Oryza sativa Japonica Group: one gene and its partners. The protein of the gene in region 1 binds, or shares a complex with, the protein of each later gene. Links are inferred from orthologs where the notes say so. Each region holds a gene or a part of one and is shown in the gene's direction. Other genes may lie near its edges.

Evidence for each region.
Region 2: large ribosomal subunit protein uL5c (region 1) and large ribosomal subunit protein bL27c share a complex: the UniProt entries of both Arabidopsis thaliana proteins name them as parts of the 50S ribosomal subunit. The link is inferred for Oryza sativa Japonica Group from reciprocal best matches to the Arabidopsis thaliana genes AT4G01310 and RPL27.
Region 3: large ribosomal subunit protein uL5c (region 1) and large ribosomal subunit protein uL13c share a complex: the UniProt entries of both Arabidopsis thaliana proteins name them as parts of the 50S ribosomal subunit. The link is inferred for Oryza sativa Japonica Group from reciprocal best matches to the Arabidopsis thaliana genes AT4G01310 and emb1473.
Region 4: large ribosomal subunit protein uL5c (region 1) and large ribosomal subunit protein bL28c share a complex: the UniProt entries of both Arabidopsis thaliana proteins name them as parts of the 50S ribosomal subunit. The link is inferred for Oryza sativa Japonica Group from reciprocal best matches to the Arabidopsis thaliana genes AT4G01310 and PRPL28.
Region 5: large ribosomal subunit protein uL5c (region 1) and large ribosomal subunit protein uL10c share a complex: the UniProt entries of both Arabidopsis thaliana proteins name them as parts of the 50S ribosomal subunit. The link is inferred for Oryza sativa Japonica Group from reciprocal best matches to the Arabidopsis thaliana genes AT4G01310 and EMB3136.
Region 6: large ribosomal subunit protein uL5c (region 1) and large ribosomal subunit protein cL37 share a complex: the UniProt entries of both Arabidopsis thaliana proteins name them as parts of the 50S ribosomal subunit. The link is inferred for Oryza sativa Japonica Group from reciprocal best matches to the Arabidopsis thaliana genes AT4G01310 and PSRP5.
Region 7: large ribosomal subunit protein uL5c (region 1) and large ribosomal subunit protein bL21c share a complex: the UniProt entries of both Arabidopsis thaliana proteins name them as parts of the 50S ribosomal subunit. The link is inferred for Oryza sativa Japonica Group from reciprocal best matches to the Arabidopsis thaliana genes AT4G01310 and RPL21C.

The regions. Positions count from the first base shown.
Region 1 is NC_089037.1:1,440,611-1,444,973, reverse strand, and holds large ribosomal subunit protein uL5c, read left to right. Parts: upstream 1-1,790; 5' UTR 1,791-1,858; coding exon 1,859-2,161; intron 2,162-2,294; coding exon 2,295-2,495; intron 2,496-2,886; coding exon 2,887-3,222; 3' UTR 3,223-3,475; downstream 3,476-4,363. Other genes in the region: beta-carotene hydroxylase 2, chloroplastic, read left to right, coding at 60-116, 416-505; probable polygalacturonase, read right to left, coding at 3,553-4,235, 4,334-4,363. UniProt on the Arabidopsis thaliana protein: Binds 5S rRNA, forms part of the central protuberance of the 50S subunit.
Region 2 is NC_089035.1:41,095,324-41,099,779, forward strand, and holds large ribosomal subunit protein bL27c, read left to right. Parts: upstream 1-1,481; 5' UTR 1,482-1,564; coding exon 1,565-1,873; intron 1,874-2,671; coding exon 2,672-2,773; intron 2,774-2,858; coding exon 2,859-3,035; 3' UTR 3,036-3,327; downstream 3,328-4,456.
Region 3 is NC_089035.1:31,965,513-31,970,488, forward strand, and holds large ribosomal subunit protein uL13c, read left to right. Parts: upstream 1-1,632; 5' UTR 1,633-1,727; coding exon 1,728-1,952; intron 1,953-2,513; coding exon 2,514-2,699; intron 2,700-2,980; coding exon 2,981-3,151; intron 3,152-3,624; coding exon 3,625-3,744; 3' UTR 3,745-3,977; downstream 3,978-4,976.
Region 4 is NC_089039.1:104,682-108,645, reverse strand, and holds large ribosomal subunit protein bL28c, read left to right. Parts: upstream 1-1,164; 5' UTR 1,165-1,207; coding exon 1,208-1,388; intron 1,389-3,003; coding exon 3,004-3,236; 3' UTR 3,237-3,553; downstream 3,554-3,964.
Region 5 is NC_089037.1:9,831,510-9,835,127, reverse strand, and holds large ribosomal subunit protein uL10c, read left to right. Parts: upstream 1-1,902; 5' UTR 1,903-1,963; coding exon 1,964-2,626; 3' UTR 2,627-2,749; downstream 2,750-3,618. Other genes in the region: mitochondrial hydrolase YKR070W, read left to right, coding at 218-277. UniProt on the Arabidopsis thaliana protein: This protein binds directly to 23S ribosomal RNA.
Region 6 is NC_089035.1:9,871,013-9,874,869, forward strand, and holds large ribosomal subunit protein cL37, read left to right. Parts: upstream 1-1,456; 5' UTR 1,457-1,502; coding exon 1,503-1,611; intron 1,612-2,311; coding exon 2,312-2,634; 3' UTR 2,635-2,784; downstream 2,785-3,857.
Region 7 is NC_089036.1:9,030,241-9,035,113, reverse strand, and holds large ribosomal subunit protein bL21c, read left to right. Parts: upstream 1-1,599; 5' UTR 1,600-1,645; coding exon 1,646-1,948; intron 1,949-2,419; coding exon 2,420-2,500; intron 2,501-3,048; coding exon 3,049-3,150; intron 3,151-3,233; coding exon 3,234-3,308; intron 3,309-3,427; coding exon 3,428-3,511; 3' UTR 3,512-3,757; downstream 3,758-4,873. UniProt on the Arabidopsis thaliana protein: This protein binds to 23S ribosomal RNA in the presence of protein L20.

The DNA.
Region 1 (4,363 bases):
TGCCGTGGTTCTGAATTTATGTGAGCTGATCCATCCTTGCCTGCCATTCATTCTTGCAGATACATCACATGGACAAGTTCGAAGGTGTGCCATATGGGCTGTTCCTTGGTCCCAAGGTGAGGAGATGTGTCTCATGCTATTCATGCTTTGCTTCCTCGTGCCCCATGCTACCATGGATGCTTGTTGGCTTACTCCTGCTCCAACGGTGTCCATTTGTCGAGTAGTTTGCATACTTGCAGTACTCCTTTATTGCAAGCATGAATTTGTGATTGGGAAGCTAATGTAGAATTTGAACTGTGTTGATATAAAAGGACTGGAAATTTTGAAATGTTCTAAGATGTATTACAAATATTTGTGATCGTCGGAAAAATTGTCTGAAATGTTCTAAAATGTCTCTGTTTTATGTGGTTGACAGGAGCTGGAGGAGGTGGGTGGGATTGAGGAGCTGGAGAAGGAGATCAAGAGGAGGATTAAGAGGAAAGAGACCTTAGATGCGATCCAATGAGAGCTACTTATCACACATTTTTTTCTTTTTATTTGCTGTCATCTCTTATTAGTTTTTGCTTCAGTGGCAATTGTAGCCTTGTAATATGCTTTTCTGTCCTGTTAATAGAAGAATAATTTAGATAGATATTTGGAAGCTCATTTGGACGGTGGAGCACACAGGTATTAGAAATGATGTGCTGGGGCTGAATGGCTGATGCTTTTGCTAGTACTGCTGGTAATGATATATATTAATCAGTACCATTCTGAATTTATTAGTCTGGTTGAGTCGTGCTGCTGACAGTGAGGTGTTCACTGATAAAATGTGTACTTTCTTTTATATTCTTTATTTGCCGACATTCTGTATCTCTTGTTCACGAGATGTGCCGGATGTAAATATGAAAGTGATGCATGGCTGATTACTTTTTGACCGTGAAGAAGAATTAATGAAGCTTATGCACACTAGGCGGTTCCTCCATACTGCTGAATGGCTGTTCATTAAGGCCCTGACAAGTGACAAGGTCACAGACTGACAGTTACTTCTTGAGGTCAAGGAGGTTAATGTAGTTTATCAGGATTAGGTTGCAAACTGACAAGGAAGATATTGTCCGTTGTGTTTCTACTCTTGGTGTCAAGTCGATCCTCACAGGATCACGGTCGTGGCATTGCTGGTCCTTGGTAGAACAAGGTAGGGCAAGCGCAATGTTGTGATCTGGGACCTTTCAAATCAGATCCTAGTGATTGTCCCCTGGTTATAAAGAACTGCATGTTACGGTTACTGCATGATTAGTTAGGCATAAGCATGTGACGAGGATCCTCGTCGTGATATTCCGTCCATTTTTCAATGTTGATCAAGCGTGGCAGATCTCCTGCTGATCTGCCAGCAACTGTTGCTAGGTTCAGAGTTTGCTTGATCTTGTTTAAGCTCTTCATCGGCGTTTTTTATGTTTGAAGTCATCGTTTAATGGCATACTACTACTATACTAGTGATGTCCTGTAGTGCATTAGAAAATACAGAATGGGCCACATACTCAAACACTGTTACCGGTTGACCAAAACAAGGCATATATCGAAATTCACACACTGCAGACTTGCAGTTGTTGACTCATGTAACTTTACCCTTCTCTTAGGCCGTGTTTAGTTCACCCCCAACTCAACGGTTTTGATGGGCCTAAGGCCCAAATCAACGGTTTTGATGGGCCTAAGGCCTGAAACCATGTCGAACAGTTCGATGGGCCGAACCATGACGAGAAAGCCCACCTGCGACACTGGACAGCAACGGCAGCCAGCCACAGCCAACTCGCCTTATCCCGTAATCCATCCATGGCATAAAGCTCCCTCCTCAGCTCCCACCTCCGTCTCCGCGCACGCTCCAATGGCGGCCACGGCTGTGACCCTGCCGTCCTCGCCGGCCCCCTTCCCCGTCACCACCACCGCCTCCTCCTCCCGTAACGTCCGCCTCCTCCTCCGCTCCCCGCCTCCTCGCCGAGCCCTCCGCGTCGCCGCCTCCGCCGCGGCCGACGCGCCACCCAAGCCGGCGCCGCCGCCGACCTCGCCTTCGGGCATCGTCCTCGTCGACCCCACCGAGGCACAGAAGGTGCACCGCCTCAAGGCTGTATACGACCAGAAGGTGGTCCCCCTCATCACCGAGGAGTTCGGCTACACCAATGTCCACCAGGTGTTCGACCTCTGTCTCCCTTCTCGCAATTATAGGATAGACATGGCCATTTCTTTGCGGAACTCGGGAAATTCGATTGTTGTTCAATAATTGAGCTTAGAGGAGTGTGTTTTGGATTCTCGATTTTATTCAGGTGCCCAAGGTTGAGAAGATTGTAGTGAATTGCGGGTTGGGGGCTGAAGCCGGTAACTCCAAGGGGCTCGAATCCGCCATGAAGGACCTCGCCATGATCACCGGCCAGTGGCCCGTCAAGACGAAGGCCAAGAAGTCCGTCGCCAGTTTCAAGATCCGCGAGGGGAACACCATTGGTATTGCCGTTACGCTCCGCGGCAGGGTGAGTCCTCTGTACCTCTGGCTACTTGCGATGCAGACATTGACAAATTGGGGACTGCAATGTTGTATCAATTTGGGATTTGCATGACAGTATAATAGCCTAAAGTATGTGTGAGAATTGCAATTACTCCATCCAGTTCCAAATTATTGTCACCGTTGGCCGTCAGTATTTTACATTGACCACAAATTTTAAATGGTTGGACGAACGAAAGTTTAATACCTATCTATGTGGAGTAACAACCTTTAATAATATGGCATATTTTTAGGTATATGCATTTTATTTTCTAAAAAATATAAGTGATCAAAGTTCAAATATGAATAGTATCCAGTGACAAGTATTTGGGAACCTAGGGAATATGTTTGATCGATGAGCTTATTTTGGCTTGCTGCAGGTAATGTTCAACTTCCTGGATAGGCTCATCAACCTTGGGCTTCCTAGGACCATGGACTTCCTTGGTGTCAACCCCAACAGCTTTGATGGCCATGGCAACTTCACCATAGGCCTTCGTGATCAGGGCGTGTTCCCGGAGATCCCGTACGAGGTCGGTGGGAAGAAGAATGGAATGGACGTCTGCATCGTCACCACCGCGAAGACCGACAACGAGGCTCTCAGGCTGCTCACCCTCCTTGGCATGCCGTTCGCGGAGCACATCAAGTCCTCCGTGGTGATCCGGAAGAAGAGGTTGAAGCGCCACCACTTCATGAGCAAGGGCAGGGGAAGACGGTGATTGCAAACCGCTGCCTAGGCACGTTGAGCTTTGCTTCTCACTTTGTCAATTGTCATTGTTTTTGCAAAGTTTCGTTTAGAAGTTTGATGATTTTGTTATCTTGTCACGTGCTGTATTTACTGTCAGAAGACAAAATGAAAAGGCTTTGCTTTGGTCAGGTCATTCGCAGATGAGCACTCATAAATGAATTGGGTGTAAAGAGATTATCCGGCAGCATTTTCAAACTGCTTAACTTTACTCACTAAACCACATCATATATATCTCTTTGGTCCCAAGCATCTCATAGCCCAGGCCATTACCCACACCATACTATCATCCTATATCAGTATTTCAGTAGCTACACGTTGGCAATTCAGGCGGACCGATGACGAGCTCTTCTTCAGGGAAGGCGCATGGCTTGCCCGCCGCCCCGAGCTCCGGGCACGGCACCGGCGAGACGTCGGAGGCGACACCCTTGACATCGGTGCAGTTCCATTGCAGCTTCTTGGCGTCCGGCGCGAGCTGCGCGGTGACGTTGGACATGCAGATGCCAGTGTAGGGGTCGTTGGGAATCCCCTCCATCCTGCCGGCCATGGTGACGTTCTCCGCGAACACGTCGCTGTAGTTGATGCCGGTGACCTCCGGCAGAGCGTTGGGGTCGGAGGAGTTGTCCGGGTGCTGGCCGTAGTTGCCGGTCATCCAGAACACCCACTTCATGGTGTGGAGGCTGAGGCCGCGGACGAACACGTCCTTGACGTAGCCGCCGCGCCCCACGCCGGACTTGATCCTGACGGCCGACTCGGTGTCGATGGCGACGTTGTCCACGGCGCGCACGTCGCGGATGCCGCCGGACATCTCGCTGCCGAGCGCGATCATGGCGCTCGTCGGGGAGATGCAGGTGAGCCTCCTGATGAGGATGTGCTGGCTCGGCATGTTGAACTTGATGCCGTACTGGTCCCAGCCGCTCTTCACGGCGATGCAGTCGTCGCCGGACACGATGTAGCTGTCCTCGATCTTGACATGGGAGGAAGAATCTGCACCATGGACAACAAGAGCTCATCACATCTAGCACAAACCAATGCTTTCCTCATGGCAGCATTGATCAAGTGCAGTGTGACTTGTATGTTTATACCTGGGTCGATTCCATCGGTGTTGGGCGAGT
Region 2 (4,456 bases), on another chromosome or scaffold:
TTTTTTAATCGTTGACTTTTAAATACATGTTTACCATTCGTCTTATTAAAAAAATTATGAAAATATATAAGATATAAATCATGTTTAAAGTACTTTGAGTGATAAAACAACTTACAACAAAATAAATTATAATTAAGTAATTCTTTTTAAATAATACGAATGGTTAAATGTGTGAGAAAAAGTCAACGGCGTCATATATTAAAAAATGAAGATAGTATACAATTTATTCCTATAATTAAGTAGATAATCTGTGGTAATAATCTAAATCAAAATTTGGGGGGGGGGGCTAATCATGAATTGAAGATGAACAGTGGAAAACGGATGGTGGGGTTAAGGAGGGCTAGCTATAATTGGATCCACAGATCCACACTCCATAGCGAGGCACACTTTGTCAAGGATGAATCATGCATGGGCATGGCCGGTGGGGGTGGTGTGTCCATACAACAACAACAAGGAATCAATCCCCAGCCAGCCTACTTTGCCTTTGCAGTCAAGCCCGCCATCATTCTTGCTCACAATTGGGGCTCTTCGATTCACTTCATCCACACACTCAATTCAGATTTCATCCACACCTCCTCCTCCTCTTCTTCTAGCTTCCATCTCATATGCTTTCTGGAATTCTGGTGGCCCTAACTCCACTCCTCTCCTCCCTCTCGCAAAGTGACTTCAATCTCCAGGAAATATTGTTGATTTGTTGTTTTCGCCACAAGAATCACAACTTATGCTCTCTCTCTCTCTCTCTCTCTCTCTCTCTCTCTCTCTCTCTCTCTCTCTCTCTCTCTCTCTCTCTCTTTGAAATTCATGATTCATTTTTGGTCTTTTCTGTTACCTTCTGCTAATATATTTCTCTATTTTTTTTCTCCATGTTACCTTCTGCTAATATATTTCTCTTTTTTTTCTCCGTAATGTTTAATTCAATACTATAATTCCATCTAATTTGGGAAGCGAAAGTGATGTGGTGGTGGAGTTGTGGGTATATGATTTTATCCTCCAGGGTTCAAATCCTAGCGCCCACGAATATTACGCATATGCAAGTGGACTTTCAACAAGATTTTAGTGAGATTAATTAGTAATGTTCCGCTAGTTTCTCTCTCTTAGAGCGCATGTTAAGGGACACATTCGCAGGGCTATGAGTGTGGTGTTGCTTGTGTAATAGTGTGTGCGTGGGTGCGTCTGCAATGTAACTGAAAAAAAAAAGTAATTCCATCTAATTTTGTCCAGCAAAAAGAAAAAGAAGAGATGTATGGGCCGGCCCTTTTCCTCGCGTTTCCACGAAGCCCACAACATCGGGCCCACAAAGGCTTTGCGGTAGGCCGGCACGTGATTCCCACCCACGTGCTGGGCCGGCGCGTCATTCCCTCCCGCTTACGTGTGCTGGGCCAAAGTACGTGGGCCGGAAAGGGATTCCCAACCGCGTGATGGGCCGTAAATGGGTGATCCCGACCCAAAAAAAAAGAGCCCACGTCTTCCTCTCCACTCCCACGTTATCACCTCGCCGCTGTGCTCCCACACTCTATCTTCTCTTTCTCTTCTCCTCGCGACTCCGCCGCTGCTCGAGAGCGCAATGGCGTCCATGGCGTTCACACTGGTGGGAGCATTCAAGGGGATGTCCCTCTCCTCCCCGTGCCATTCCTCCTCCTCCGCCTCCTTCCTCCGCGCTGACCGTGTCTCGCTCTCCGTCGGCGGCGGGGTCGGGATGGGGGTGCCGATGACGATGCCGGTGCGGCGGCTGACGATCCAGATGGCGCACAAGAAGGGGGCCGGGAGCACCAAGAACGGGAGGGACTCCCCCGGGCAGCGCCTCGGTGTCAAGATTTACGGCGACCAGGTCGCCAAGCCCGGCGCCATCATCATCCGCCAGCGCGGCACCAGGGTCATCACCATCCTCTTCCTTTACTTACTGGTTCTTGGATGTTTCATGTGTTCGACTTTTCTCCTCAAATTTTGACTGATAGTATAGCTTCGTCCAGCTCTGAACAATTTGTGAATTTAGGTGAGGTTGTTGTGTTAACTAACATCTGCACAATTCAGAGTTCAGGAATGGTGTGAATATTCTTTAACAAAAAGGCATGACAATGATCGTGTTCCAAAGTTGGTCCTAGAGAAAGTCTGTTATTCTATGCAACGCCACCCGTTTGCTAAGACGTGGCCGCATGTGGTACATTCTTACCAATATCGTGGGATGTGGCCAAGAATTACACACTCTTCAGACTTCAGGGGAACTAGATGTTTCAGGCACTCTAATGCAATGCAGAGAGAAAAGGAGGAAGTACACTTTGATATTAGGACGTGCTGTTTCTGCACTAAAGACTCAACTGATAGTTACTTTCTTCACATCCATGAACTAACATAGCACAAGAATGTGCTACATAAATGTGTGTATCCTGTAAAAACAGTTGCATGTGCTGCTAAACTACTTCCTCTTATGTATTGTATCGTATTGCAAGGCATGCATGCATCCTTTCGATGTACTTTCCAAGTTCTGGCATTTGTCCCGCTGTTTCAGTAATGCATATGCAACTTCTTTGAAGTTTATCCCTGAACCACCACACACACCCTCTGCAATAGTCTATGTTTCTACATGTTATGAGCAGTTGCGTTTCATACAGTAATTTCACATTTTACGGACATATTCTTGCTTTTTCTTATACATTTTCATTGGTCATTTTAGGTCTATCCTGGAAATAATGTTGGAATGGGCAAGGATCACACCCTCTTTTCTTTGATCGATGGCCTCGTAAAGTTCGAGAAATATGGACCAGACAAGAAAAAGGTGAAAGTCTGCATCCTAGCTATAACTTGTCAGCATCTACTTATAATTGTATCTAAGTGGTTTTCTGTTGCCTTTTCTTTTACAGGTAAGTGTTTACCCATACGAGAAACAACCTGAGAACCCAAACAGTTACAGAGCAAGAAAGAGAGAGTACTTCCGCATGCAGCGTGAACGCAAAAAGGCAAGAGCAGAGGGAATTGTTGAGGTGCAATTGGTGTTGGCAGCTGCAGATGAAAGTCCTGAGGTCAATGCAGACTGCTGATAAGTTCTCTGCCCCGTTTTTCTCCATTTTCGCAATCCATGTTTGATAACAATGTTTGGAATGTAAATCATCAACTATGAGATGAATACAAGGCCCATCTTCAACTCCTTGTTTAGCCATGTTCGGCTTGCTGTATCTTTTCTGGCAGCTAGGCTTTAGGAACTAGGGCGGGTCTATTCCAACTGAATCATCAACAGTGAGATGAATACAAGGCCCATGTTCAACTCATTGGTTAGTCCTGTTCGACTTGTTGTATGCATGTACCTTTCCTGGCAGCTAGGCTTTAGGGACTAGGATGGGTCTATTCCAGTATTCCGGTACCACAAGTTCCACGTAATTGTGTTATGGGTGTTGTGGTGGGCTGATCTGATGCTTGAAAGTAGTGGTATTCATGTGGAATTGCAATTTGCAATGGATCAACATCATCACTGGGGGTATGATATATGGTTCAGGCCGTATTTGAAACTACTTTACAAGAGGTTCTTGCAAAAGTAGTTTCTTTTGGCATGTAGGGCTGTAGTGGGGTTTCAGCCTCTTAATTGATTTGGTTGCCGCAAGACTGCAATGAGACATCTGCATTTCCTTGATTCCTTCTTGAGGGACCTACTATCTCTACTCTCTACAACGTAAAGTATGTGAGTTGGTGATTGGGATGGTAAGTTCTACGCCTGCATCCTTCCTCCAATTTTCGCTCACAACTTTGACATACATCTCAAAGGAACATCTTTTACCAGGAAAAATAGGATGCATTTAGGTTCACTATTATGAAAATCAATTTCATCGCTGTCATGGGCAGTTGGGCACTGCTAGTATTGTAGAAACAGCACAATATGTTGAAGATCAATCGGATTGTCAGCACTTGAAGACGATAGATAACCACTTCATCAAAGAAAAAAAAATAGTACCGTGATATTCTGCGGTTATCACTCAAGAACAAAAGAAAAGATGGTGGTAATTAGTTCCACTCAAACGAGGGGAACAACCAACATATGCCATATCCTTAGATTATTAGAGAAAGTTTAGACTTTTTCTTTCTTTAAGGAAGCTTGTGGATTAGGTATTGATCGTCATCTGTTCATCAAATAATTATAAAGGAGTGTTACTGTGGTTTTTGGCCCCTCTTCTCTTTCATAGTCTAGTCTATCTGCTGTGTTGCTTTCGCTGGAACAAAGCAGAGAGGGGCATGAGCCTCAGGTGGGATTTTTGTCCAATAAAGGTGGCCTGCCATAGGGTAGGTGGGACATGTTCTTGGCCCCTCACTTCTAAGGTGTCAAGTCTTCATCAAGAAACACAATACAAAGAAAAAAAAGGAAAAAGAAATGGAATCAAGAAGCATAATCCTTGTTTCCTCTCTGTCCATACCTCATCCTATAACACGGGAGCTAGCAGCACTAGTGAGTGATAGTGCCAAGGCAAACATT
Region 3 (4,976 bases), on another chromosome or scaffold:
GAACAATATTGACCCTTTATATTTGCTATATACGAATGTGTAACATATGAATTTGTGATGCACCCGGTGCTGCAATCTTATCAATGAAAATGATATCATCTTCTGTCCTTTGCACCGTAGGAAAACATGGACACCAATTCTCCAATGATCTTACCTTTTCAGTTATCTTTATTTGTCGCCAGAAACATAGCCTAATTTTGGGTATATGATCCTATATCACCTGTAGTGCTGACTTGCTTGTGTGTGTGGACAATTTAACATGGGGCAATTACTCATTTGACCCTATTTTGATGTCTAACTATCAATTTGACCTTACTTTTCTAGGTTTGCTCATTTGACCATGCTTTTTAAAATTGAAGATCAGAGATGACCCTATTTTGTGAAGGGTAGATAACGGTGTTAACTAAGAGGGAAATTGTCCGTTTTGCCCCTGCTCATTTACCATATTATATCAAAGTTTTTTCTTCATCGGGACTTTTTAAATATTTGCAATGATTTTCATGGCTTTTACAGATCTGAGACAGATTTGTCTTCAATTTAACAGAATTTTACACAAATTTGACAGCATATTGTCCAACAGCAAAGCATATTGTCCAACAGCAAATCAGATCCAAATCCAACAATAAATTCGTATCCAAATCCATCAACAAATCCAACCACAAGTTATCCTCCGTCTCTCGTTCCACACGACGCACGACGGCAGCCGGCGGCGCCGCCCCTCCGCGCGGCAACAGCCGGCGCTGCTGCCCCTCCTCCACCCTCCGTGCGGCAGCAGCCCCGCCGCCGCTCAATCTCTCCGCTTCGAGCACGGCAGCCGCCGCCGCCGCCGCTCCCTCCTCCTGCGCGCCGACGCCGCTACTCCTTCCCTCCTCGCGCGGCCGCCGCCGCCGCTCGCCGCTCCCTCTCCTTCCTCGCGCGGCCGCCACTCCCTCTCCCTCCTCGCGCGGCCAACGCCGCCGCCGCTCCCTCTCCTTCCTCGCGCGGCCGCCACTCCCTCTCCCTCTACGCGCGGCCAACGCCGCCACCGCCGCCGCTCCCTCTCCCTCCTCGCGCGGCCGCCGCTACCGCTCCCTCTACGCGCGGCCAACGCCGCCGCCGCCGCCGCCGCTCCCTCTCCCTCCTCGCGCGGCCGCCGCCACCGCTCCCTCGATGCGCCGCCAACGCCGCCGCCGCCTCTCCCTCCAGCCCGGTCGGCGGCAGCTCTCCCCGTCACCGGCGAGGTGGGGATTGGGACGAAGAGCTGGGGAATGGAATGGGAATCCTAGGGTTAATTTGTAACACGGGGGTATTTTGGTCACTTTAGGGTAGTATTTTTTTTTTCTTTTTTCTAAGTGATGTTCTACCGGTGAAAGCAAAACAGGTCAAATGGAAACTTCAATTTCAAATAACAGGGTCAAATAAACAAACCTAAAAAAATAAGATCAATTTAGTAGTTGGCCTTTAAAATAGGGTTAAATAAGCAATTATCCCATTTAACATATCGGAATTTCTACGCGTTTCTCTAGCTTTGATGCATCTGTGGGCTGCAAAGCCCAGCTAAGCAAAAGGCCCATCTCTTCCTCTTCCCCTTCTGGCTCCCTCTCCCCCCCTATCCCCTTCTTATCCGCTCTGCTCTCTCCACCTCGCCTCCCCGAAACGAAATGGCAGTGGCGTTCCACTGAACCAGGCCAAGCCAGACGGACAAGACTTCGCCGCAGCCGCGTCCTCCTCACCGCGCCGCCGTCGCAATGGCTACGGCCATCGCAGCCTCCGCGTTCCTCTCCTCCGCCTTCGCCAGGGACAGGCCGCTCCCCCGCCAGCGGCGCGCGGCGAGGCCCGCGACCCGCCGCGCCGCCGCGGGGGGCCTGTCGGTGCGGTGCGAGCAGAGCGAGAAGCAGAAGAGGCAGCCGCTCTCCGCGCTCGTCCCCCGCGAGCAGCGATTCATGTTCGAAGGCGACGAGCTCTGCGGCCCCGTACTAACCCTCACCTCTCTTTCTCTCTCCCGTATACATTCTTCTCTTTCTCAGTTCAGAAAATGAATAGTAATGCTACATTCCTTGGATAAAGGGAAATTTTACCGTGATTTAGGATTGCCGCTTATTTAGGAAAGCTCAAGATTAGTCCCATTCATTTCTAAATCCGTAAGTCACTTCATCTTGCTCTATTGGGTCAAATCCTTTCTTTACATGAATAATGTTAGGGAAAATACACAATGTTTTTACATGTTACTATACCGTATAGACCACCATCTTATTTTATTTAAAGTTATCTAGTTGTAATTTATTACGAAAGAGGATTCCATAAAATGAACTGAAAATAACATGGAGGGAACGTTGGTCTTTCTGAATTGGTCGCTAACATTGTGTTGTATTACTCAACAGTGTTCGCACCTACATGACTACCATATCTTTTTATCTGTGGATGTTTAGGTTTGTGAAGTTAGAATTCAGTACGGATACCATTCTTGTGTTCTTTCTCTCTTTTCTGTGCAACCTGTTCTGTGTAGTGATCGGACCAAGGAATTTAATTTGCAGGACATATGGAACACAACATGGTACCCTAAGGCTGCAGATCATGTAACTACTGAGAAGACATGGTATGTTGTTGATGCAACAGACAAGATTCTAGGTAGGCTTGCATCCACCATTGCAGTACACATCAGAGGAAAGAATGAGGCCACATACACTCCAAGTGTGGACATGGGGGCTTTTGTTGTTGTGGTATGTATGTTTCTTGAAATTAATTTATAAAGTTAAATAGTGCACACAATAAGATCCTCTGTAGTCCCACAAAAGGAAAAGAGGTTTAGCAGCACATACAAATAAGCACCAAAAGGTATCTGGAAGCTGAGGTCCACCTGAAGGCATTTTGAAGCTGATTTCATGTATATATATTTATGTTACTGTGTGCTTTTAATACTAATGCATCTCTGAAGAGTAATTGCTACGCATATACTATTGTAAGTTCCTGAACTACCATGCTGAACTCTATGTTCACATAGGTTAATGCAGAGAAGGTTGCTGTTTCTGGCAAAAAGCGGTCACAGAAGCTCTACAGGAGGCACTCTGGACGGCCTGGTGGAATGAAAGAAGAAACTTTTGATCAGCTTCAGAAAAGGATTCCGGAGAGAATTATTGAACATGCAGTGCGTGGCATGCTTCCTAAGGGCAGAGTAAGACATCATCTCTTAGAGCTCTTATCTAGTCAGTTTCATCAAGTCTTTTTGACCTTAAGTCAGCCTACCTGGGTATACATATGCTCTTATCCTTATTTTTGGTCAATTTCTAATACATATCTGAAAATGGGTATCCTCGTTCTGTTCCATTATACTTCATTATTGTGTATAATTCCCCAACTTTATATACCCTGTTCATGGAAATATTCGCTCTAATTGAATGCCGAAACGGCGTGGGCTAACGAAGTACTAGATGTATTCTCCCAAAACTCCTATGTTGCCTGTAAGACATCTTATGATTGCCTAAAGCCTTTTACTTATGCCTAAGTTCATTTATAAAAAAAAAAAACGTTTACTATGTCAACCTCTCAAGTTCTCATATGTTAGTGACACTGACACATGTAATCCGACCAACTACAGCGGTTGTACGTGCTCTATGTAGCCTTCTCAACATTTTGAACATTTTGCAGCTGGGAAGAAGACTGTTTACCCACCTCAAGGTGTACAAGGGAGCAGAACATCCCCATGAGGCTCAAAAACCTGTTCCACTGCCTATCAAGGATAAAAGAATACAGAAGTCTGAGAAGTAGATAATTCCTGTGGAGACTAAGAAAGACACAACAATCTCACGTAAATTCCTCCCCTCGAGATTTTGTCCAATCTTTGGAATGTGATGCATCTGTCTGTTTGGGGAATGGAGTGTAAAATTTTTTGTAATTTACTTCCTCCAAAAGTTTGTGTTTCTAAGTCATAGTTCTTGTTGATTACATATCATGTACCTAATACCGTACGATTTTAAGCAATCCGATATTTCCATATCCAATTGAGTAGTGCAATTTTGACCTGAGATGAGCTTGATGTGTCATTGTTTGGGGGCAAAAGTGTTCTCTTTTTTCAATGGGCATCAGGTGTTTCTAAATTCTCTTAATAGTTGATGTAGATCTGTTAATTAATTGCACGTCCGTGTTTATCTTCCATATAACGAAAAAGTTGACAGTACCAATCGTGTGCTCAAGTAACACCTATTGTACCATGTACTCATTCTGTAAAAAAAAAGCCAATTTAGATGAAGATCTGATACCACCTAAAAATAATGATTAGGAGGTTATCCAGATTTATATTAGGTGGTATCAAATTTTCATCTACGGGGTTGTTTAGATCCAGAGGTGTAAAGTTTCGACGTATCACATCGGATATTATATAGAGTGTCGCATAGGGTGTTCGGTTACTAATAAAAAAAACTAATTACAGAATCCGTCAGTAAATCGTGAGATAAATTTATTAAGTCTAATTAATCCATCAATAACAAATGTTTACTGTAGCACAATATTGCTAAATTATGGAGCAATTAGGCTTAAAAGATCCATCTCGTAAATTAGTCGCAATATGTAAAATTAGTTATTTTAGCCTATATTTAATACTTCATGTAGGTGTTCAAACGTTTGATGTTACAGAATAAAAAATTTTAAGGTGGAATCTAAACAGGTAGTTTTTTCAAGGAAGAAAGTAATTGCGAGAACATAGATTGAAGTTCAATTGAACAGAGGCGGCATGGCAGTGAGATGAGTAGATCCCGGAGTGGCCGGGTCGTCGCCTATAAAATTCAGCGAGATTCATTCGAGAGCGCGTCACTGCTTACCTAACCCCACCCAATCACCCCAACCGAACCCCGCACGGCGCACCGGACGCCGTCGCGTCCGGTCGCTCGTCCTCCGCGACCCCACCTGAACAACTGAAGAACTCATCATCCGTCATCCCTCCCCCTCCCGCCAGTTACCCTCCAGTACCATCCTCCGCCCGCCTCGTCTTAAAACGCCTTCTG
Region 4 (3,964 bases), on another chromosome or scaffold:
GTCCTCTTCCTGTCTTCCTGGCCATCAAGGAGGAGAGAATCAACTCCACATCTTCTCGGGTGACCTCTTTGATAGCTCCTTCGGCGAGGGATGGGTGGGCGGAAGTCAAGGAGGCTGTTCTTGAAGACGGAAAAGAGAAGTAGGGGCCGGCTCGACCTCGACCCGGTGTTGCGATGTCGTCGCGAGCATGCCGGTCTGTCTCCTCCGAGAGCTCCACTGTCTCCACTTCAAAAGCCATCAACGAGGAGGAGCCCAAGAGCGATGTGGAGGAGTATGAGGAAGAGGAGGAGGTGGACCAGTGGGTAGAAGTGTGCTATCTGGAATGGAGGTTGATGCGAAGGGGATCTGGAAGTGGGAGCCAGACTTTTGCTACTGTCCCCATCTTGGATGCTCGCGAGAATGTGTGGGAGTTGGTGGTGTGCGACACGACATTGTCCCTCTAGTTCACTTGCTTCTTCCCCAACACCTCCATCAACAACGTCACCCTCCGCATGCGTACTCATCTTCATCACTACCGCTTGAGCTCAAGTTTTGCCGCCACCACCGCAGCACCCCCTTCCCATCCCCGCGGCTCCTCACACTCCTGACACGACTGGGCTTTCCTGCAGATAGCTCATGAGCTCGAACTCGCCGGCTCCCTCACCTACCTCCTCTTCTCCCCCGTCGTGGACCACTGGAGCCACCTCATCACTGACCTCCCACCACCATTACCACCTCCCGTGGATGGGCTCGCTGGCCGCCGCCCCTCTCCCCACTGGAGGAGATGGGAAAGAGAGGGGGGAGGTGGAGAGATGGGGAAGAGAGGGGACAGGTTGGGAGGAAGTCCACTTTAAATTTTAATTTTCTGATTGGTATGCCACGTTAGTGAAACCAGTCATCCATAATACCATGAGACTGACTTGGAAGGTTTTTCCAAAATGGGGGGGAGGGGGTGAAGATTGCTGGTATTGCGGTTTAGAGATACCATTAAACTCGACGTAAAATAAGGGATAATAAGTGGACTTATCACTGTGAGTAATACTAGTAGTAATGAGAGTTGGGCTTGGGCCGCCCTTTTCTACAGTACTACGATATATGGGCCCCTGCTCACACAGTACATAGAGAGACGATTATGATAGGATAGGAGAAACAAGTTGTACGCCACGCCGCAGCCGCACAAGACTTGATCCTCTTCTTCTTCTTCTTCTTCCTCCAGGCTCCAGTGGCGATGGCGACCATGCTCTGCTCCTTCACGCCCGCCACCAGGGCTCCGCTCCTTCGCACTTCCTCCTCCTCTTCCTCTCTCGGCTTCGCCACCTCGCAACTCGCCGGCCTCAGCCTCGGCCTCTCCGCCGCAGCCACCACCGCGCCCTCCGCCGCCGGTCCCAAGCTCCACCCCATCCTCGCGCGTACGTCATCTGCCTCCTCCTTCTTCTCTCTGTTTCGAGCCATCCACCCGCAGATTGACATTACAGTTTTATATTACACCACCAATGTCATTTCTGCTACTATTAAAGTTGTTACTTTATCCTTCGTTTTTTTTTTGCGCTATCCAATACTCCACTGTATATATACTACTACTAGAACCAGATGACCTATTTGTTAGTAATTGATTGCTTTAATCTCTCGAAAATAGACTAGCTGTCAATCTATTACCATAAACTCAGATCTTTCTTTGTATTTTTAAGAGAATGGAAGCTTTATTGAATTTGGTCGTTCTTTGCACCATGTCAGTGCACAACCAATAGATACCACACAACAAGAAAAACAGAACTAACTCAACGATTAAGGACCTAATATCGGAAGACTAGGTTGCCGCTCATGTGCCTGGGTAAAAAAAAAAAACCTTGACCACATGCTCCAAATGAAGACAAGCCGAACAGACAAAACCCCTGTAATCTGGCTTCTTGAGAATAATCCATGATCGGAGCCAATGTGTGATCAAGAAAATAACCTGCAAAGAAGAAGAAACAATTTTCCTGTCAAAAATCACATCATTCCTTTATAGCCAAATAGCCCAACAAGTCAACTCCTAGTAGAAAAGGAGGCCTAGACTCTTTGTTTTGTCGCAAACTCCATTGTCCAGACATATGTGACACACTCCTAGGTGAAGAAATGTTCGATGCAATCTGGATTAAAGACCAAACTGATCGGGCTAGCCGACATTCAAAAAATAAATGCTTTATCGTTTCTTCCTTGTGGTAAAAACAATAGGTCTTATTCCCTTTTCAATTCCGTTTAGCCAGGTTATCTTTTGTTAACACCACCCCTCGACATAAATACGATAGAAACATTTTCACTTTGAGAGGGATTTTTAACTTCTAGATATGTTTGTTAAAATTGGGAACTCTTGTATGTGCAAGATAATGAGTTTTAACCAAGAATCTTCCATCAGGTGTTAGATTCAATTTAAAGTCATCTTTCTCGTGTGACAACACTATATTAGCAATGCGTGGAAAGAGATGATTCCACGCCACTAACTTAAGGCCAATAATATCCTTGCGCCAAGTGAAATTTAACAGGGTTGTTTAGAATATATTTGAAATGGTTGCTTGTTTATGTCTGACAACCATCTCTTTGTTTCTCTAAGACATAAGCAGAGCTTCTTCTTCTTACTAGTGTATATAAGAAAGAAGGGGGAAAAGAAAAAATATAACTATTCTGGCCATTTCAAGTTATAGTTTTAGTTTTATTCTAAGTCAACCATTCATAACTTTAACTATCAATTTCTTATTTAAAAAGATAATTGTGACTTATCAATTTCTAGAAATTTGTAAAGTTTAACAACATGTTAATTGTACTATATATTATGAAGGTACTTTTCATGATGCATATATAAACACATAAATATTATGATATTAAATGTTTGGCTTATGATAAAGTTAAGGACAAGTAATTTAAAAGGGTGAGATTATACTTTATCTTTTGTTTGCATGATGCCACAAATTATAGAAACTAGTAGTAGTAGGAACAAGATGGCGTGTATGGTGATGTTGTTGTATGATGTGGGGGTGGGTGACTCAGGCCGGATATGCCCCTTCACGGACAAGAAGACCAACAGGGCGAACAAGGTGTCCTTCTCAAACCACAAGACGAAGAAGCAGCAGTTTGTGAACCTGCAGTACAAGAAGCTGTGGTGGGAGGAAGGCAAGCGCTTCGTCAAGCTGCGTCTCTCCACCAAAGCCCTCAAGACCATCGAGAAGCATGGCCTCGACGCCGTCGCCAAAAAGGCCGGCATCGACCTCAACAAGAAATAAATCAAATCATCATCATCATGATGCATACATACATGTATTCTCTCATCAATTGCCGCTGTGCTGAATAGACCAGAGCTGTATGTAGTCCATTATTAAATCCATTCATCTCGATGATGCAATTTATTGTAGAGTACTACAGTATGCATTCATCGGTGGTGGTGGCCGGCTTCGTTTCCTTAAATTTCCTTTTATCCCGTGTTGCTGCTGCAAGTCCGGCTCGAATTGTTTGCTACTAGTGTTTCATTTCGGTCGAGTTCCTAATTAATACTGTATGTTGGTTACGAATTATAAGATGGATGGATGTAACTTGAGCAGCATCAGGTCGTGCAGTTGGCATCTTGCGCTTTTCACTTTAGAGTGTCTTCCAGTCTAAGCTGAAATTGATTAATTATTTTATTTCCTTTTTGGCTATTGATATTTAATAAGAGCCTAAATGAAAGAATTAACTTGTACAAAATTGAAAAGCTGTTTGTTTTGTACAAAAGGAACTCCTACGCCAATATTGATTGTTCTACTGCTATGGCCTGTCTGGTTTGAGATAGCTGAAATTGATGGATTGTTTTATTCCCCTTTTTAGCTATTGATATTTAATAAGAGCCTAAATGAATAATGAACCCCTACAAAATTAGAAGGTTGTTTTTTTTCTCTCTAAAAATGTAGAGACGAGAAAAAGGTGTTGAGTTGTAGACGTGGAGCAACCCGGCAGCTCCACACACGCGCAACCTCTG
Region 5 (3,618 bases), about 8.4 Mb from region 1:
TTGTGGGTGTTTTGTGGGTCTTGAACTGTAGTCCCGGCACATCCTTGTTACCGATTGGCTGTCATCTACCAAAAGCTTCTTCTGCTGTCTGCCGATGCAGTTTTAAACTGCTTGCAGTTTTATTAATCAGAAACATTGACAATCCATTGTTGTGGCCTCATGCCATTATGTTTATTAGTCTGCATGCTGTTTTATTTACACTTGCTATGTCATGCAGGTTGTTGATACTGTTGAGGATGCCATTAACTGTATTTTGGAAAAGGAATGTATACAGTGACAGAGTGACACTTGTTCTGAGTATCCATGCTCCCTTCATTGTTATTTGGCATGCATTTTGTGCCACACCATTGTTTTGTCTAGCAATTCTGGAGCAATTGTTAGCCGGAGTTCCATCTCTGATTCATTCCACTTGTTTAAGTTGGGACATCAGAAAATATGCTGATGCGCTATAGTATTTTTTTTTTCCTGGCTGAGAGATAGGCCGGACATTATATATGTAGAATCGTCAGGGTTTCAGGGCAGCAGAGCTGCAGCAGAGCTAAAAGTGAATTTCACCCTGTACCAGACGTTCTTGTTTCCCTGCATCTTATTTCTTGGATTTCAGTACTACCAATGACATTATTATATGAACTATACACTTCCATTATCAAAACCATCATTTCATGTTAGGGATGGCTTGAAGTGCACACGAGTTATGGAGAGAATGGTAAGCATCGGATGTTTGGTTTTCTGTGAAATTGCGTTGAGCATGCTGAGTCCGGAACAACTCCGTGTTTACAGCATCAGAGCAGCTGCTGTTGCTTGATCGTCGCAGTTTATATCCTTTCCACCTGACATCCTTGCAATGTTTATATCCATTTTGATCGTCGTACAAGAGATTCGCATGGTTTTCTTACCTGTAAAAAAAAGTTTGAATTATATATATATATATATATATATATATATATATATATATATATATATATATATATATATATATATATATATATATATATATATATATATATATAGTGATGCATCTACAAATCGGGCGCTCGATTTTTTACAAAAATCAGGCATTGTTTCACTAAATAGATCGAAAATGTTTCAATATTTTTAAAAAAGCTGAAACACAACCAAATCACATCGTGAAATATTTTGTTACAACATATGAAACAACAGTTTCCAAAAAAAAATCAGGCATTGTTTCATCCTATATAAAAACAATATTTCAGCAAATAGCAAAGGATGTTTCAAATCATTGCAACATTTGATCATACATAGTGAAACATCACGAGTACACTTGCTAAAACATTGTTGGTGGAAAAAAAAATGAAACGGATTCCTTTAATAAAGTATTTCCTTAATGTGCGGGTGATTTGTTATAACGACGCGTGTGGTGGGGCACGTGGGGGGGGGGACAACGCATAAGGGGTGGGAGCGTGCGGGAGGCGGCGAGCGCCCGATTTTTCTACCGCTGATCGGGCGCCTAATCGCTGTCATTTTCTTATATAGTGATATCTATTGTGTTGAATAATTCAGTACACTGATGTATGTTATGTTTTATTGTACATATCAAGAGTTTTTGAACTCAAGAAAACAATAGTGATGTATGCTGTGTTGAACAAGGCAGTGAAGATTGGAGTTGTTGGTACACGACTTCACTCACTATGGTTTAAATTGACGTCTATGAATACCACACATACGCGTTTGCTCTATGCCTCTATTTTTTTTTATTTGGAACTCTTAATCTTATTTTCAACCGCTCATGGATCAAGATCGAACGGCTATAAATCCTCAAGCAAAGGTCAATCTCCACGGAAGCTTCTTTCTGTGCAGCTGACCGAGCTGAGTTCACCATCTTCTCAGGCACTGACGATACGGTCCCACATAATCCAGTGAGCCCCCCGCCTCATCTTCCCCACAGATAAGCTCTCCCACTCCACTCTTTCTCCCAACCCGCCATAGCTCCCGGCCTCCGAAGATGGAGACCTCCTCCTTCCTCCGCACCACCCTCCCCACCGCGAAGCCCCTCCCGGCGTTCCAGACCCTCGCACCCCGCCCCCGCCCCCGCCCGCTCCGCCGCTCCACCATCAGCGCGGCCATCACCCGAGGCCGCAAGGAGGACACGGTGGCCGCCGTCCGCGAGCAGCTGGAGGGCTGCTACCTCCTCGCCGGGATCCGCTACGAGGGCCTCACGGTGAAGCAGCTGCAGGGCATCCGCGACACCCTCCCGGAGACCTGCCGGCTGCTGGTGGCGAAGAACACGCTGGTGGGGAAGGCCATCGAGGGCACGCCGTGGGAGGCGCTCAAGCCGTGCATGAAGGGGATGAACGCGTGGCTGTTCGTCCACACCGAGGAGGTCCCCGCCGCGCTCAAGCCCTACCGCGCCTTCCAGAAGGAGGAGCGCCTCGAGGAGACCAACGACTTCGTCGGCGCGGTGTTCGAGGGCAAGTTCTACGCCCCCGGGGACTTCAAGGCGCTCGAGACAATGCCCAGCCGCGCCGAGGTGTACGCCAAGCTGCTCGGCTCGCTGCAGGGGCCCGCGACCTCCGTCGTCACCACGCTGCAGGCGCCGGCCAGGGACGTCGTCTCCGTGCTCTCGGCGTACGTGCGCAAGCTCGAGCAGGAGGTCGGCGCCGCCTGATGGCTGTTGAGAGATGGTTTTGTGGCTTCGTTTCTCTCATCTCACTCATTTCTTGTAGAATTCCTGTACTTTTACTGCCTCACGTTTGAATTGAATCACAAAAGTTTTACCTCTTACAACGCATGCCTACTGGTCTGATTTCATAAGATTACCGAGTTCTGATGTTATTAGGATTACGTTGCGTACTTAGAGGGAATGCTTGTTCCACAACTAGTGTTTTGATAATTTAATTTTACCTGTAGAGACTACAGAGATCAAAGTTTAGTAGGTTGAGGGGCAATGGCAATGCACAATTAGAATGGTCAATAACTACTAGTGCTTGTGTAGTTGTACCATCAATCAGTGTATCCAGGTTTACAACAAAGTTGTTCAAAGCAGTATGATGAGATGTTTTAAAATCATGAACTTAACTGTGCTCTTTTTGTTAAGAGCAAACCTCCTTGAAGTGAACAAAATTAAATGATTAATTCATCTTTTAGTAACAGAATAACACTAATTAGAGTTGGAAATTCTTCTGAATTAGCTTCTGAAACTTACTGTTGGTCACCAGCTCACCACATACCTAATTTGTATCATTTCTGTCTGAACGCGCAGTGGATCAAGAATAGAATTGGCAAAATTGATGATCACATGGTCACTTATTTGTTTGATACTGATTTCTTCTGACAGTCATGGTATTGTCCTAGGTTATTGTACTTGAGTGATAGTTGTAGTTTTGCAGGAGTGACTACCAGGCATGTCAATATGCCAATATCATTCGCCCAATGGATAAGGATGTGAGAGGCTCTTGAGAATATAGAGGAAAGCTTGTTAGGACCAAGTTGCAGTCTTACGGATGTGAAATTGCTTTGGTATGGGAAACCATTTCTTTGGTCCATTCCTGAAGATCGTGTTGTTTGGTTATAAAAGATACATAAAAGATACATATGTCTCTAGCAACATATTGTGATTTGGCTGCTTAGGATCTATTGCAAGCTAAAGTGGAATACGTG
Region 6 (3,857 bases), on another chromosome or scaffold:
TTGCTCTTTCATGGGGCCCATGGCTTCCAAATGAGGGTATCAAATTCTGACTTTGTTGTGCCTAGGAGTTGCGCTTTGTAGGCTGATGCCACCATATACTCACCATGGTTGGTTAGCTTCCAAGTGGTCGTGTCTTCCTCGCCCTCTACGAGATGCACTTCTTGGACTGCATTCCAGACAGTGACGAGCTGACTGATTAGTTTGGTCATCCTAGTTGCAATCGCCGATAGGTTGATGTCGAGTAGCCATTGGCCAGATTTGGTGGCCTACTGTAGAGTTCTGTTTTTCTTCCAGAAAGTCGCTTAGACCAGAGGGGCCAACTTCCTTAAGCCTTCTCCCTTGCAACCAAGCAAAGTCCCAGAATTTCGCTTTTGTACCATCTCCAACTGTCGTCGTCGTTCCCACAAAGAGGAGTTTGCCAATGTTGTCGCAAGGCGTCTCCGACCCCACTCAAAGCTTTCTTAGATAAACAATGTAGCAATCAGTGGCGCTTGGCGAGCCCATGGTTCAATTTTTCGTTTTCAGTATTTGTATTGGGGTGCTGATATACCGAAATTTGGTCCAGAATTATTTGAATTTTCGAACAAAATTTGGTCAAATTTGAATAAATATTACTAAATTCACACAAAAGAATAAAAAAAACTTTGGTCGAACCGGAAATTTGAACCCTGCGAGCCAGCCTGCGAGACTTGTCGTAGATTCTGTAAATCTTCTCTGACACTGATACAACGATGGCTCGTGCATCATCCTCATCCTCCTCTCCGGCAGCATTGATGTCCATGTCGAAGCTACGCTCGGCTGGAGGATCTCTGCACGCTCCATAATCTTGATGGGTGTCCGCGAGCTGAAGGAGCAGAAGCTTCCATCCCCAATGGCGCACGAGAGCTGACGACCCGGATCAACCATTGGCAGCAGCTCCTGTACAGACACCTCCTCGTCCTCGATGCTGAAACTGCTCTACGCCGGCGACGGCGACGGCGACGGCGACGACGAGGAGGAGACATTCTTGATGCGGTACACGGCGGCGCCGGCGCGTGCTTCGGCTTGGAGTGGGAGACGAAGAGGTTGTCGCTAGCTGCTCTTCTCATCACCGATGGGCACCCGCTTGGCCGTCGAACGGGAGGTTCTTGTCGTCGGCGAGCTCCCCCACCTCTTGCTATCCACGTCGAACGCAGGATGTGGCGGCCGGCGGCGGCGTAGGACGCGACGGCGAGCGCGGCCGGGCGGAGGGGACGCCGCCGATGCGGATTGTCGCCGCCACCCGCGGCGGCGGCGGAGGCGGCGAGAGGAGAAAAAGAAAATCAAAATCAAAATTTCTCTCCACCTATGACATGTGGGCCAACTGCCAAGCAGCCTTACTTGACGGAGATTAAATCTGGCCGTTGATTCTCCATCGGACGGCGGAGCGCTCACAGCAGCACAGGCTTATCTCCTCCCTCCGGGCTGATGGGTGGATAGGCTGACGACGGGCCAAGAAGCCGAATCCCACACTGCCCGTGGCCATGGCGCTGCTCCTCTCCCCGACCGTCTCCTTCCTCGCCTCCTCCTCCGCCTCCCCGCCTCGCGCCAGAGCTCTCCCCGCCTCCGCCAATGTCGCCTCCACCATCCCCGGTAACCTCCGTGAACGCCTTCTCCGTACCGGGACTTTTGCGCATAAGTTACTCGGGTTGTGGGGTGTTGGTTCTTGGATTGGATTATGCTGAGTGGGTACGAGGCTATCCATTGTTGTGAGGTGTGATTTGTAATTCGGTGGGAGGATTGGTCTAGATATTTGACGTTGGTGATTCGTGGCGTTTCTGATTCTCTGGGATGCGGTTGGCTCGTTAGGGAATTTCTTCAAACACGTCGTGTGCAGATGCAGTAATTCGTGGGAGATTCCGTGCATTTATCATCTCTGTACAAAGCTAGGTATAATTCATCTCAGTGAACTCTGCAGATTCTCGAAGCTTTGGTTCTTTCGTGCTTAAATGATAATATCAGATGCTATGTAAGCACCGGTCACTGGCAAAGGGTGACATTCGTAGTACACCCTACATTTGGGGCCTGATTGTTAATAGATGAGTAGATTTTACATATCTGTGCTCTGCTAAGATTCATCATAATATGTAATTGAGAACACTAGGATTGTTACTAGTTATTGTACTATATACTATCCATGAAGTGGCACACATGAGCTAGACTTATTAGCTTTCAAGTTTCTTATATGACGGAGATTCTATCAAAATTTTGAAAGTAGCATGCATGTACTCTGAATTCTATATCTAAAATGATGCACATTGAGGCTTGCCATTTGTCCTTTCTGATGCTACAGCCCCAAGGCTCCAGTGCAAGAATCTCTCCTCGCAGAGCCCTCTGAATGCTTCTTTCACCAAGAAGAGGCTAGTTTCTGTCCATGCCTCGGCAGAGGCTGGCGCAGAAGAAGCTGGCACAGATCAACCAGAGGAGCCAAAACCCACGGTTTCGATTGAGACAATGCCGCTCGAAACTAAGCAGAAGATGATCATGGAGCAGAGGGCGAAGATGAAGCTGGCCAAGAAGCTGAGGCAGCGGCGCAGGAGGCTTGTCCAGAAGAGGCGGCTGAGGAAGAAAGGTAGATGGCCACCATCCAAGATGAAGAAGCTCAAGAACGTCTAACCAGCAGTGATGTCGGTCGCTGTTCTTCTGTACACCTCTATGTTCTGTTCATCCGTCTCTGTATTTCCTAAGCTGATGCCCAGCGAATTTTGCTGTTCAAAATATGAAACACAATGTTTGCAAAATGTGATTATTTCTTTCCCGATGAAATTTCATCTTGTATTTTTTAGATAATGGATAAACCGGTCACCGTTAAAAACACACAAAGCCCAGTACTGAACAAATTTTCTTCTAACATGTCCCTCCTTTTTCTCCTTTAGGCTTTAGCTGTCCTACAGAAGTACCACTAAATCTAATGTGTGTTCCCATAGTGGAAATATCATATGCACCTTGATGCCTTCTGTGTTTGTCAAAAACTCAAAATCATAGCAAATTTCAAGAAGCCTTGCTGTGCTGCACTCTATATTTGTGAGGTATTTGCCTGTATATACACTTCCATGATGTGTTTTGTTAGGGCCTCTCACAACTCTTTCGTCTGACCTGATGTTGATTAAAGCACAAAGGATCAACCTGGACAAGGAAATAACTGGAGCAAATTCGGGTTTGTTTGTTGTTTGCCACTTTGTCAGGCACGATGTGAACAATCTGAAGAGTGCCATTTTCGATTTTTTTTCTGATGCCCTTCCTGTTGATGTGGTTGTAAAATTTATCTGAAATTTAGCCTTCTTGAGCCATCTTTGTGACTTGATGGTGTACCGTCACAAGTTCTTGAAATGTTAACCACGATGTTTTTTGTGGAAACAAAATTTGTAATCTCTCTATCGTAGGAACTGAACATGGCCGTAGCTGACTATGTTTTTGACCTTTTTCAGCATCAGTCTGACAGTCTCATAAGATGGATTCCTAGTTTCCTAAGTTGCTGGAAAGAATCTTTGTTTGCTTGCCTTGCTTGGCTACATGGTGTTGTTGCCTGCATGTGTTCTACTGCCCCCACGCTTCTCTCTTTAGGGCCCTTGATGCTTCGATGCCCAAGGAAGGAACAATCACCACATAACCTCACAAAACTCCTTTTCAGTTATTAGTTTTTTTTTTGGTGTGTGTGTAAGAGTAACTAACCATTTTTAGTTTTTGTTATAAATATTTTGATGTTTTCTGCTGAAAGAACTATAAAGAAGATGGTAGTACAAAATGGACTTGAATGACTCATGGTTCAAATTTGTTCAGGTAACAGCTGGTCTGAATTTTGGATGGAAGAGAGCCAGATTTTCTGTCTGGATGAATGA
Region 7 (4,873 bases), on another chromosome or scaffold:
ATTATTATTATTATTATTATTATTATTATTTTGGTAGCATAATTTGGAAAAAGTTATGGTTGCGAATGATAAAAGGCCATAAATTATGGCATAATAAACATCTTCTATATAAGCTATGGTATTTAATCGATTCAGCATCGATTGTCATGGCCTTTAAAGTGATATTCTTTTATGTTGGAAATCGTACTGCACAGTTTCTTAATAATTTAGAAAACTTATCATTGCAAATAATAAAAAGGTTGTCCTTTGTACTCTTGTTTTTAAAGACAAACTTAGATAACAGTCTCACAGTTTATCAATGTTGTTTGATAGCCTTTGATGCGCTTGCATGGGCTGCAGCATATAGCAACAGGCCAAGCAATAGTGCGCTATACCTTGCATTGGCTACGGCTACACAGTCGAAGCAATGCCATAGAAATGTGACTACTGAACATGTCAATGTTCATTGTTGATAGAACTGGGAGTACGGAAGATAGTCTCTTTAAGATGGCTAGGTCAAAATATAAGCAAAGGAGGACTCAACAAGATTTGAAAAAAAAAACAACAATCAGGTCCTCCTCTGTCTTATGCCCACATTGGTGGTGACTGGTGACATACTTGATGGCAGTGGGTGCTACATGGACACGGCGAGCTACAGAAGATGTTGCCTTGACGCATTCCCAAATAGGGTTTCACAACAATAGAGGTTAAGGCCATGACAATTCATGAAAAGGTTCATCAATACCATAGATGAGTACATCCAGAGCTAAATGAGATTGTTCTTGGAGCAGAACCATCAAGGTCGACAACCTAATCGTTGATATTGGTGATAGAGACAAAGATTTCATGGCAAGTTGCATAAAAAAGCACCAAGAAGCTTACCTTATTAGGGCCTCCATAGCCTAAGGTTGAGGAATCCAAGCATATAGCAAACAAAACTCAACTGCTTCTTGAAGGTTTGCCACCAATAAAGAGGAAGAAAACTATCATCCTTGCGAAAAGCCTGCTGGAGAAAAGAAAGATAACTTGCCTAACTTCCCTTAACTAGGTCTAGCTTTCTCCTAACTCACGGTGATAGAGAATTACCCGGTGTTTTAGAGGGATACCACTAGAGAAGAAACTTCGATTGCCTTCTCCATGAAACCTAGGACTAGAAGGCCAACATCGCCGACCTTCACGCTCAAACTAAAAGAAAAACCCAACTAAATTGATTGACCTACAAAGAGAGAGTTTGTCGGACTTCTCTCCCTCACCTCGCCGGCGGCAAGGTCACCCGAGCCTGTGAGGAAGAGGGGTCGAGGAGGCGTAGTAGTTCAGTTTGGCTCTTTCGTCCGAGAGTTCACGAGAGTTCTCATCACTCGTGTTAATTCGCATATTCTTTATGGTCTAATCAACACATTCGATCCAACTCTTTTATAATCTTTAACTGATTAAATCAAACGATTCTAAACTTTAGAAAGGAGAAACAAAATGAGTACGTGCAGTATCGCTAAAAAACTAGTAGGGCATAGTTTCATGTTTTTCATGGGTATCTAATCTGAGCCGTTGATCTCCAATCGAACGGCTCAGGGTAACCTCCCTATCCACAATATTATCCCTCTTCTTTCTTTCCGATACGATAGCCCACACTCTCATCCACACTGCTCTTCCCCCCCGCGCGCCGGCCATGGCCACCGCGACGCTGCCCCTCCGCCTCCTCGCCTCCAAAACCCTAGCCTTCCCCTCCGCCCCGTCCCTCCCGGCCTCGCGATGCTCCCTCCCCGTCGCCGCGTCCGCGCCCCGCCGCTGCTGGCGGCTCCTCGCTTCCGCCGAGGAGCCGGCGCCCGCACCCGTGGAGGCCGAGGCCGAGGCGGAGGTGGTAGAGGAGGAGGAGGTTGAAGAAGAGGAGGCTGCGGTGCCGGAGCCTGTGGAGGCGCAGATCGCAGCCGCGGGCGCCGGGAAGGACGCCGACATCTTCGCCGTTGTCATGGTGGGGCTAGCTTGCCCTTGCCGCCAATATTTCAGATTTAGTCCTGCTCGGCTCACTGCAAACAAACAAAAAAAGAATCACATTTGTTCATGCTACATTACCTCGAATTCTTTAAATAATATCATTACACAGGCATTTGGCGCTAGTTGCGTTGCTTCTTGCGGTGAAGTGAGCATTTGATTTCAGGCTTGTGTTGCTTACTCTATGCTGCATAAGAAGCTTAGGATTCACGCGCCAATAGGAATGCGCGCACGCCGATTATTAGTATGTACAGGACACACCATTAAGAAAACGGCGCAGAGAATTACAGTGTTTTCGAATGATACAATACTAGTCTTACAGAGAATTGTTCGGATGCATTTCTGAAATATGCAGGAGTGCATCTGAGGAGGGTTTCTCTGTGTTTTGTTTTGTATGAGCGCTGTGAATAATAACGAGGGAGCTATTTTGATTATTTTTCTTCTGTCGCAGATTGGGTCGAGACAGTACATTGTGATGCCTGGAAGGTATATATACACGCAGAGGCTGAAAGGCGCCAATGTCAATGATCAGGTCTGGTGCTTCCACTTTAGAGGATGCAGGAGGATACTTGTTACACCCTAACTAGAAATTTGGCCTATTTTTGCTAGTTAGTTGGTTTGTATTAATCCATAAATTTAAAAGGTATATGATGCTGAGGTGGCTTCTAGATAAGGTGATTGTAAATTAGGAAAAGGCAAATATATAGTATTGGTTATTTGGTTATTATTCTTTTTCATCCATGAGATGCAATAACAAACTTCAAAACAACGAGGAAGGTTGTACATTCTGAAATTATGGAAAGTGGTAGTGACCTACTTCATTTTAGAAGTAAAAGAGTCACTTCCCTGTAATTATAACACTTCAATCCCAGTTCCTGATTTCACATAAATATCTTATTCAGAACTTTTCGATAAGTTTTGTGTAGCCTGCATATATTAGCTTCGTTCCTTTTCTAACTAAAATTACTCCTCTGATGCAAAGCTTCCAATCCCATAGGACCCATACGTTGGCTTATGTTGCTGGCATTTTTAGTATTGTTTTCCCAGAAATTCTCACTTCTGGATAATGCTGATGTGCAGATAATATTAAACAAGGTATTACTGGTATCAACTAGAGACAAGGCTTACATTGGCATGCCAGTGGTGACCAATGCTGCTGTTCATGCAGTGGTTGAGGAACAGGTATGTCCTCTGTATGTTGTCGGGTTAATCATGGATATTCAAAATTACTTGACCCTGATGTCTCCCCAATATTTTTATATCAGGGACGGGATGATAAAGTGATAGTCTTCAAATATAAGAAGAAGAAGAAGTACCAGAGGAAACTTGGTCACAGACAGGTAAGTTTTTCCAATTACCTTCTTCAAGAAAGGTAGAATTTTATTGATAAATACTGATTCAGTTTTTACAGCGAAGCAATTAGAGTTCTTTTAGATTAAAAATCTCTGTTGTTTTGCAGCCAAACACAAGGTTAAGAATTACCGGCATAAGTGGATACGAGGACTTCCCTGCTGACCCGATACTTGAGTATGTTCCAGCTTAAGAGCAATTGTAAGTTCTGTAGTTACAAACAACTGGTAGTACATTAGAATACGAGTGCTACCTTTTCTTGTCTGGAAGAACAGTTTTTGAACAAAATTTGCTTTGTTCATGTGTTCGAGTGCTGCCAGTCATCCAGTTGTTCCATCCTTTGTTTATTCCACCATCTGTTTTGTTCATTCTGATATTGTGTATCCTAGCCAACTGTATTATTTTCACTGTGCTTAAAAAAAGAGAGAGCATTTTACCACGATACGGATGTTTTAGCTTTGGTTTGTGTAACTTTATACAGTTTTTGTGACTACTGATGCTAATTTCACTGTTTTTGGCATCTGTACCAATGGTGCTTAGTTTATTGAACGGGCTATGTCCTAATATTTTGGGATCAGTTACAGTACTATGTTCAATGCAGTTCTGGTCATGATTTATTCGAGTGTTCTAAGAGAAGTTCTGCAAGGCCATATATAAGGTGTTTGTGTGCAACCTTGTACTGCTTAGGGCACATAAGCAGCTGGTTAGGACTTAGGCCATATAAGCATCTACAAGGCAGGTGGCTGCATGGATTCTGCTTACCACTTTTTAGAACCTTGGTTCATGAAGAACTGCAGAAGTTTTGCCCTTTTGAATCCTTACCAAAGATAACCAGTGGCATAAGGCGTATAATCTTTTGGCAAACTATGACTGTTTCAGTAGTCCTTCACCCCTAATTGCATATTACAGTTCTGAATTATAGTGGTTTTCAGACATCTTTTGCCTAATTGAAACCCTTGTTGAAGTAAAAATTTGACCACTGTAAAGGTTCATAAACTAAATATAATCACACTAATTTGTTATATGCTAGCCAATTTTCTTGATATATAAGACTTGTTAATTGTCAACATGGTTGTATGATGCTATAGTAGATTGTTGAACAACGGAAAAAAGGTCGTCTCTTCGCGGTGCTTCCAGGTGTAAGGAAGTATCAAATTCAGGTGCAAGGCATGGGTGTTAAGGCAAGGTAAGGTGACCCCAGCACGCCTTATGCCTTAAGGCGTCGCTTCGCCTTACGCAGATAGAAAAATAGGAAATGAAGGGCTTTTTCATTATATTTATGGAGTCCAATCACTAAATGGAAGCCATATATCTATTGATCCATCCCCATCCCCAATCCCATCGGTGCCCGTTTCTCAACCACCTACTCGCCTCTGCTCCACCGCCGCCGACGGTGAGTGAGAGTGAGACCCTTGCTTGGGCCGCTACCTCCGTCCCTCTTCCCCTGCTGCCGGGCGGTGCTGGCTGTCAAGGGAGGTGGTTCTGGCTTTGTCGGTGGTCAAGGACGACGGTGATGGTGATGTAGGCCACTCCCCCTTCCTCTGCTGCCACTGCT